2 linked regions of the Arabidopsis thaliana genome follow. The protein of the gene in region 2 interacts with the protein of the main gene of each other region in a pairwise test. Each region holds a gene or a part of one and is shown on either strand. Other genes may lie near its edges.

Evidence for each region.
Region 1: the proteins of AT3G17090 (region 2) and SAUR15 interact in binary tests that used the Arabidopsis thaliana proteins (3 or more experiments, as listed by UniProt).

Annotation. Positions count from the first base shown.
Region 1 is NC_003075.7:18,124,382-18,127,575, reverse strand, and holds SAUR15 (SAUR-like auxin-responsive protein family), read right to left. Parts: upstream 1,520-3,194; 5' UTR 1,320-1,519; coding exon 1,050-1,319; 3' UTR 747-1,049; downstream 1-746. Other genes in the region: AT4G38840 (SAUR-like auxin-responsive protein family), read left to right, coding at 2,103-2,402; CRK26 (cysteine-rich RLK (RECEPTOR-like protein kinase) 26), read right to left, coding at 2,633-2,947, 3,030-3,180.
Region 2 is NC_003074.8:5,824,857-5,830,686, reverse strand, and holds AT3G17090 (Protein phosphatase 2C family protein), read right to left. Parts: upstream 4,102-5,830; 5' UTR 3,704-4,101; coding exon 3,376-3,703; intron 2,827-3,375; coding exon 2,459-2,826; intron 1,978-2,458; coding exon 1,741-1,977; coding exon of another isoform or gene 1,737-1,740; intron 1,582-1,736; coding exon 1,360-1,581; 3' UTR 787-1,359; downstream 1-786. Other genes in the region: AT3G17080 (Plant self-incompatibility protein S1 family), read right to left, coding at 4,944-5,348. UniProt on the Arabidopsis thaliana protein: Dephosphorylates and represses plasma membrane H(+)-ATPases (PM H(+)-ATPases, e.g. AHA1 and AHA2), thus influencing negatively plant growth and fitness. Promotes the apical hook maintenance of etiolated seedlings.

The sequences.
Region 1 (3,194 bases), on a different chromosome or scaffold from region 2:
CCGATTAATTCAACTGCTAAATGGGGATTGAGGTACGGTTTTCAAGTCTTATTCATATACTTAATTTGGCATGTGATGAAATTTTTAATGAGGCTTAATTGGTTCTTATAGGGGCCCCCTCCTTCACTTGTAAACTTTGAATCTTTTTCATATTTCGGGGAGGACAATACGTTATATTGGAAGTTAATTGTTTGACATGGAAAAATGTATAAAATGCAATGAATGTATAAGAAAAAATATATGTTAGATTTATTTTGTTTTTTAAATAAACTGAACCTTGTCATCCAAAAAACAAAAACATATTTTAACTCTATAGTCAGAGAATAATAACATTATACACATAATTCAATAAGAAAATAGATGTACATTTAAAAAATGCTAGCTGAACCGGACTAACCGGCAGGTTTCAACGTCCATAGTACAAGTGTACAACAACTAACGATACAGAGAAAACAAACAAACGTTACAATGACGTAAAGCAAATAAATAGACGTTTAAGAAAAAAAAATAGATGTAAGCAAGAGAAAAAACGGTGCCAACTTCCCCACGCGCATCTGTTCCTAAGCAACCATAGTCAAAGAGCGCGTGAATGTTAGGCGTTTAATTTATGGGCTTTGGGCTTCGAAACCTATTTTAAATTATGTTTGGGCCACTATTAATTATTGTTTGAAAATACATTTTTTAAACAACTTATATGAAGAGCCAAAAAAAATACCAAGTTTTCTCATTATTACAGTTGTCGCAAGGAATGATAATAGTCACATAAATGTTCTTTGAGAAATATGGAAATAACTACCAACCAGAATAATGAGTGTTCAAATTCTGCCGTTTCACTGTAATGACGAAATGTATGGTGTCCAGAGTTAAATGACACAAATGTATAATTCCTTTTTTTGGTACAAGACACAAATGTATTAACATGCAAATACGCATTGATCAATTACGATCTATGTATTGTATATTCCTCTCATTGAAACAATTTACAATTATCTCCAGGGGAAATTAGCTAACAATCTAAAAAAAATATGGAAATGTTGTAGTATAGTACTTCATTGTATCTGAGATGTGACTGTGAAGAACAAAGATTCATGACATGGTATTGTTAAGCCGCCCATTGGATGATCATAACCAAACTCTTCCTCAGATTTACTCAACAGTTGTTGAAACAAAGGCTGGTTTAAGTATGAAACCGGCACCACATATCTCTTCTTCTTCTGATCATTCTCTCCTACATAGACCGCCATGAATCCTCTTGGTGTCGACGATGATTCCCTTCGAATAATTTGCTTAGCACCCAAGAAACTCCTCAAAAAAGCCATATTTTCCCTTATGTTTTCCTGAAGCTTAAATGTTTCTTAGTCTTGGAGAAAGCTTTGAGATTTTAAAATTGGATCTTCTTTAGTTTGTGAATCTAAAGGGGTTTAGTTACTTGTTATATAAACGAACGTATGAAAGAAATGATTAAGTATTTTTGAGGTTTTTCTTTTTAATTACAGAGCACATGGCTTTGGGTTGTAGATACTAAACCAAGAACAAATCAATAAATGGTGTCTGAGAAGTTAGTGTCTAATGATGTCCTACATGATAACTTCATTGGGGCTTATTTGTCTCAAAGACATCACATGCCAAATCTCTCTATAGATTATGTAGGGACATGAAGTTGTGTACCTAATGAACCACAAGTCTCTATCACTGATTAAGTCATACCTTCTTCTCAATGATATTCAAAAGACAGGACCACATGATTTGATTATATACTGACAAAGTCACAAAAGCCTTCAAAAAAATTCTGTGGCAAGAAAGGAAAATTTGACTAGTTATAGTGTCTATCTAACAAACAAGTGGTCATATTGATTTCTGTCTTCACATCAGAAATCATGAAGATTGATCACTATAGGGCCCTTACTTATCATGCCGTGGTCCGGCAAAGCCATGTGCTTGCTTGTTGGTGTAAAAATTTATGAGCTGAAACTTTTGAAACCAATAAAGGGTTATCTACAAGTAATGTTCTTATCTATATATACTCATCACTGACTCCTTTCTGCTCTGCAAGTTTCTCACATTTTCCAATAAAGCATCTAACTTACAATTAAAGACAATCCATGGCGATCAGAATCCCTCGTGTGCTGCAATCATCGAAGCAGATTCTCCGACAAGCCAAACTGTTGTCATCATCTTCTTCTTCTAGCTCTCTTGATGTTCCCAAAGGCTACTTAGCGGTTTACGTAGGAGAACAAAATATGAAGAGATTTGTAGTTCCGGTTTCGTACTTGGACCAGCCTTCATTTCAAGATCTATTAAGAAAGGCAGAGGAAGAGTTTGGATTTGATCATCCAATGGGTGGCCTCACAATCCCTTGCAGTGAAGAAATTTTTATTGATCTTGCTTCTCGCTTCAACTGATCATGACTCACTCGATAACCTTACTTTTGTCATTGATTTTTGTACATTTTGTTTTCCCAATTAGTTTTCTTCAAGAGATGAGATGACTTAGAAACAGCATCTCTCCTTGAAAGTGAAACAGAGACTTGTAACACTCTTTTTCCTCACTTACAGTGAGTTGGACTCAAATCTAATCAAAACCATCATTTAGTCATCATCTTGAAAATCTTAATTTCAGTGTCCAAACAAACTCACCGAGGATACAACTCAGTGTTGGAATTATAGTTTGAAGTTTTTGCATTATGTCCTAAAGAAGAAGAACTATCTGATACCGCATTGCTGTGTGAGAAAAATGCAGGTTTTGATGGTTCTGAAAGAGCAATAGTATGTCCATCTAACATCAGAACAACAGAAGCCATGCTTGGTCTCTCTGCAACTTTCTCTTGGACACAAAGAAGACCAATGTTTATGCATCTCATGATCATATTCGATGAATAACTCGACATTGTCATCAAAATCTTGTCCACAAGATTCAAAGCAACGCCTTCCTTCCAATTTCTCCAAGCCTTTACCAAAACATCAGAACTCAGTGAAGTGAATTAACAGTTATTGATCAAATCTCAATGCTTTTGCATGTAATATACTTACGAAGCTGATGAGATCTCCCATGCTGTCCTCACTGCTGAAACCACTGTTTTTCTTACCACTGATGATCTCAAGAACTAAAACTCCGAAACTGTAAACATCTGTCTTGAACGAGAACTGTCCGTGCATTACATACTCTGGAGCCATGTATCCACTGTGTAAACCAAA
Region 2 (5,830 bases):
CTGGGTTATGCGTTTTCTCTGAGGCAGGCTTATAATAAAAGAAGAAAAGCCCATTAGTCTAGTATGAAGGCCCATTATGTTTGATGTTTGCGGCAGAAAAAACCCTAAGACCTAAATTCATAAGTATGTATATAAACCAACACTTCCGGCGATGCCTAAAACATTCGATCTCTCTTAAGCTAGGTTTAGTTTGCTGTGTTTTTACTATGTTTGTATATGATCTTTTAGAATCGTTTTGTAGCTGATTGGATTCGCCTCTCAGATTGAATTTCCTGTAGAGTATTCAATATCTACGGGATGATTCTTTCATCGATTTTATTCGTGAGGCGATAGATTATTGCAGGGGCGTTGAGTCGCTTCGTCTATGTTTAACCAGGCATAGCGAATAAGCTCGTGCTATATCCTAATCAGTTATCGTTTCTTTTTTAAAAAAGCTTATTGAAGGATCCTATGATGGCATGAAATCTTTGAGACCTGATTTTTTATTGATGAAAAGCTATAAGCATTTTTACTCTGAGGATCCTTATAATTTTTTGTATCTGTTTCAATTTTTTTATCTGGCTAGAATAATTGTTGAGGGTCTAAGAAGGAAAAGATGATGAATATGCACTGGGCTCTGAGTTGTTGATTGACATTCAACTTCTTTTTGATGCATAATGCAGCCTAGAAAGCTTAATCTGATTTTTCTTTCATTAGTACTCTCAAAGGTTTTAGTATTAACAAGAACTTTATAGATTTATGGAATTGTATTTGATATTTTTTAGAAAAGGTCCATGAATCCATTTAATCAGAACTAACATTTAAGTCTTGCATAAGTAAAATGTTGAAGCCAAACGTTGCTCCACGACTTTGTTCTCCAAATCAAATCCGTACGAAAATTAAGTATTTCACCGAAACCGCAAATTTGAGATAGTATGAAGAGTTGACAACTGTGGCACATAAATATCGAAACAGTAATCCAAGAGCATCTTAAAATCTTTTTTGATCAATAAAGTTAAACCTAGAAATGTTGAAGAATAACCACTGTTCGGGAATGAAGAATAATTATAAGTTACCAAAACAATTTTGATTAGAGACTTGATGTTACATTCGAGAATAGTATGGTTACACGGCTATGTTACATTACATACTTTTGACGAACGGCAAGAAGTAAAAGACTTGGAACTCATCAGAACTTTGAAGAGAAACACCAAAAGTCAAACATAGCCGCTTAATACAAGAGAGAACTCATTACGTACGATAATGATGTTGTTTTTTTCATTTTTGGTTTTTTCCATATGTTGCCTTTTTTTTATTCATTCTAGGCAAAAGTCATATAATCAAGTAAGAAGAAACATTGTTGTAAAATGTTTGGGATTCTCAGTGTTCAAGAGCACTCCGTATAGAGACTGTTGTGTCTTGGGTTGAGTTGATGTGGCCTCTCGATATGAGGTCATGGTTCAAGAACACCACTATAACCGTGATGTCATCATGAAAATGTCGTCTCACTTTCTTGTCAATCTTCCTTAGATCTGAATATCTCATCTCACGTTTCCTCGCTGCCTCGTGAAGAGCCGCCTTTATCAGTCTCTTTGCGCTTCCCTGAACATAGAGAGAAACACACAATGCAAGAAATCATTTATATATTTAACGAATTTGTAATAATGAGGATTCTTGTGACTTGACTCGCTTAAAACTGCAATCTAAAACTTATCTAGACCAAAAACGCCATCTAAGAGAGAAATCAAAGTAGAAACTTACAGCACGGGGATGGTTATGAACAATCTCAACTGCTTTTTCGTTAGTCAAATGCTCCCAAAGACCATCAGATGCAAAAATGAGAAACGAATCATTAGGGTGCAGAGGATGAGAGAGTATTGTTGGTGTTGCAGACATCAAGGGTCTTTTCATTGGCTCTGCAATTCTGAACTTTTGACTGATTGGCTCCTTGTTAAATTCGGGCCGTTTCATGTACATGTCTCCTATAGACCTCGATACCTATATAAACAGCGAATCAAAGTTGAACAGTAAATACAGGGAATCATCAGAAAGTCTTAAGAGCTGCATGGTAGAGATGATTAATTATTGGTAACTAGACATCACAAAGAGCGTAAGACATATATTTAGCTTGTTCAGTACATATGTATGGAGTTCATCAGAAACCCATTACTTGCTAATTCTGCTTATGCACTACCTCATTACTTGCTAATTCTCAAAACTTTTTAAAGATTTGTACTTCTCAGACCTCTAATGAACTTTTCTATAGCTTATAAGAAAGGCCAAACCGCTCAAAGACTAAAAAAGAGAGAAGAAAAATGATTTAGCTCTTCCGAAACAAGCATAAGGTAGATATGTCAAAGTTTGCGAAACCAAAGAGAGTTAACACAACAAGGAACCTAGTTATGTCTAAGTGACTAATTTTACATTTTTCTTTTGGAAAATTAACATCACAAGGGATGGCAGGAGAATGAGAAACTACCTGAATGATGCCCTTAACTCTCCAAACTCCATGCCTGAACACAACGATCTGCGGGTCATCAGGATGTAAGTCCTTGAGTTCCCAACGAATATCTTCATTGTTAGCATTGTGTTCAGTCGACAGCTGAATAGCAGAGAGTCCGCCACAGTTGCCTTTCTTTCCAAGAACAACCCGTGAATCTCCAAGACTTGCCACAAAAAGAGTATTTTGATATATCACTCCAACCAAACAACAAGTGCCAACAGTTGCCAAATTTGGTATTTCTTGCCACAGCTCTGACACAATGGAAGCGAATCCTTCTTCTGTCGCATGAAAGGCTCTTTCTATCGTCTCTCTCGTCACAACTCCTTGTGTTTCCGCTGATATTTCTGCATAACCATAAAGCCTGAGCAATCAAAACATAAGAGAGGCTCAACCTCCTTTCATAATTACAGTGCACTCCTAGTTTGCTTAAGCCTGGTAATATTCATGACACTCCACCATCAATGCAAAAGCCAGGGACCCTTATCTAAATGGCAAAGAACAATCTCAAAGAACCAGGAATGCGAAATGCAAAGAGTCCTCCTATATATCAAACTGCATTACAAATACTCCTATATATCAAAGAGCATACTCATATCTAAAGTTTTACTATTTCTGAAGTCAATAAACACAGTTTTTAAATGCAAAGACTGTAGCTCTAAACTTGCATTTAGCTTAATGGGAACCTAATTATACCCCAACGAGATTAAAAAGTCAAAGTACCTAACTTTGTTGACCAATCACCATCTTCATCACCAAGATTTGAACAAAAAGTTCAGAATTAAGTCAACGGATTCATCTAAAATATGTATTTCCCCAAAAAACCAATTCAAAACACTCAAGCTCGAATGTCAAAATGACGAATCACTGTGTCAATGAAGAATCGGATTACGAACCTCGAAAATGGTTAAAGAGATGATCACAGACATAACGAGCAGCTTCAGGACCACCATGACCATCGTAAACACCAACAAAAGTCCCAAAATTACCGGATTCGACCTGGCTCTGATCTTCAAGAACCTGATTGGCTTGAATCACAGCCATGGAGAAATCTCCGCCGCAATATTTACCGAGATCACGGAACCAAAGCAATCCGTCTTTGCCTTCACCGCCGGTTCCACCAGAAACGCCACCACCACCACCCGATCCAGCTTCGGAATTATCACAGACGTGCCCGAATGGCTTGAAGCAGAGAGAAAACAGATTCATCAATGAACCTGACATTCAACATCTCTCGAAAACCCTAACCCCCAAAAACCCACTCCTCGGAACCGTGAGATTTCTGGGTATTAAGGGTTCGATTCAAAATCAGAGAAAAGGAGCGGGATTGGGTAATGGAAATGAGATCGGGAGAAGAGAATGATGGGAGAGAGAGAAAACCCTAGGTCTTAATGGAAGGGATGATGCGCAGGATAAGATGTTTTGGCGTAGGATAAGGGGAGAGGCGTAAGATAGAAAGTAGTAGAAGACGATGACGGACGTGTCTTGTCCGGTCGTAAAGGAACAAAGAAATTCTCGCTTGTAATTTTTTGTCTGATGAGGAGAGAGCGATCTTCCCTTAGCTGTCCGACCATTTTCTTTGCCTATACTATTACACAACTGTTGTGTTGCCCAAATTAAAAAAAAAAAATCTAACAAACTAAAAACTATATTATTAAAAGAAAGATGAAAATTTTGTTATATATGTTTACTAAATCAAAATTTAATACAAATTATAATGTAAAATATTTATATGCAAGTTCTTTGCATTATTTTTTTTAAAATTTGGGTTTGACTCAATAGACTTTCTACTTACTTCTTTTGCTAAATCGGAAATAAATATAAAAGAGATAAGTTTCTAGATGTAATGCATTTCACTTATGGGAGTAAATCTTCACCAATTTATGTCATTGAAAGTATATGTTTTAAGATAATATTTCACTTCCACTACTCGAGAAAAGCCTTCCCACGCGGGTTTAGTTTCCTCCATTCACCAACATGCGTTTAACTATGCCATTTGGTTATGTCGAATTATACTAGTTTTTTTTTTTTTCTGGTTTTAAATTACACTAGATTGTGCACTACGTTTGACTCATTGAGTTTCGGGGTCATGAAATGGGACTCTAATCGATATGCGTTTAGTTAAGCACAAATGTATAATTTACATAGTTGTTCTTTCGATCAACACTTGTTCTCTATTTATTTATAATTCTTTTTTTTTGTTAAAAAATGAACGTTAAGCATAAAAGAAAAGCTCATTGTAGTTCACATTATATTCTTATAATGTTTTGTTACTTCGCTCTAAAATTATTTGACTATAATTGTGTCATTAACAAGTAAAAAAAAAAGAAAACGAATTGTAGGTCAAACCATAAAATATCATATTAAGACACAATTACCTCATACAAAAAAGAAAAAAAAAGGTAGAAGAAGAAGTAGACAGACATAGATTGATAGTTACGACATGTTTTATAAAATAAGGATATTAATCCCAAGAATAGCAATGATCAAACATGCCGGTCTTCTTATAAAACTTGCAAGGTCCATTTTTCCGTATTTTCCATTCGCATTTTTTGCAACCAAACTCTTGAAATTCTTTGTCTCTACTCTGTTTGTAGATATCAAATATATGACTCTCAGCTCCCCAACTAAAACGACAGTAAAACAAAGTCCGGCCAAAAATATCCGGTGTAAATCCAAACGACCACGATCTACCTGGTGCTAAACTCTGGTATCCAAGATCATCCTCTCTTGATTTGCAGTGGTGCCGTAGTGGCAAACCACCTCCAAGATCATTATAAATCACTACACTCGTCGAGGCTCGAGACATAATTGCACTCATAAACATAACCATTACAAAGAAAAGTAAGCATGTCTCAAGAGAACCCATAATTCGTCTAAACTTTTTTTTTTTTTAATCCTGGAAAATATCCAAGTATATGTTGATAACTATTTCAATCAAACTTGTTCAGTATTTATACTGTATAGGTAACATCTTTTTGCACAAAAAAAAAGGTAACATCTTAAGTCAACACTTTCCAAATTATGATCCATGTTTGTTTTGACACTAACTTTTTTTAAAAAAAATATCCAAGTATATGTTGTTATATGATCAACACTTTCCAAATTATGATCGCTACAAGAGAAACGGTATTTGACGTCGGTCATTATTGACTTTAACGTCATTTTCAAACTGACTTTAACATAATAGCGTCGGTTTAAAAACCGTCGTAACATTGCATGACGTTAATATAATTAACTTAACTTTAGGAAATGACGCTTACTTATACGTCGAAACGTTTGCGTCGGTTTTAGTAATCTTAACATCGGTTAAGTTCTGTCGTGTAAATCTTATTCTTTTGAGTCATTTGT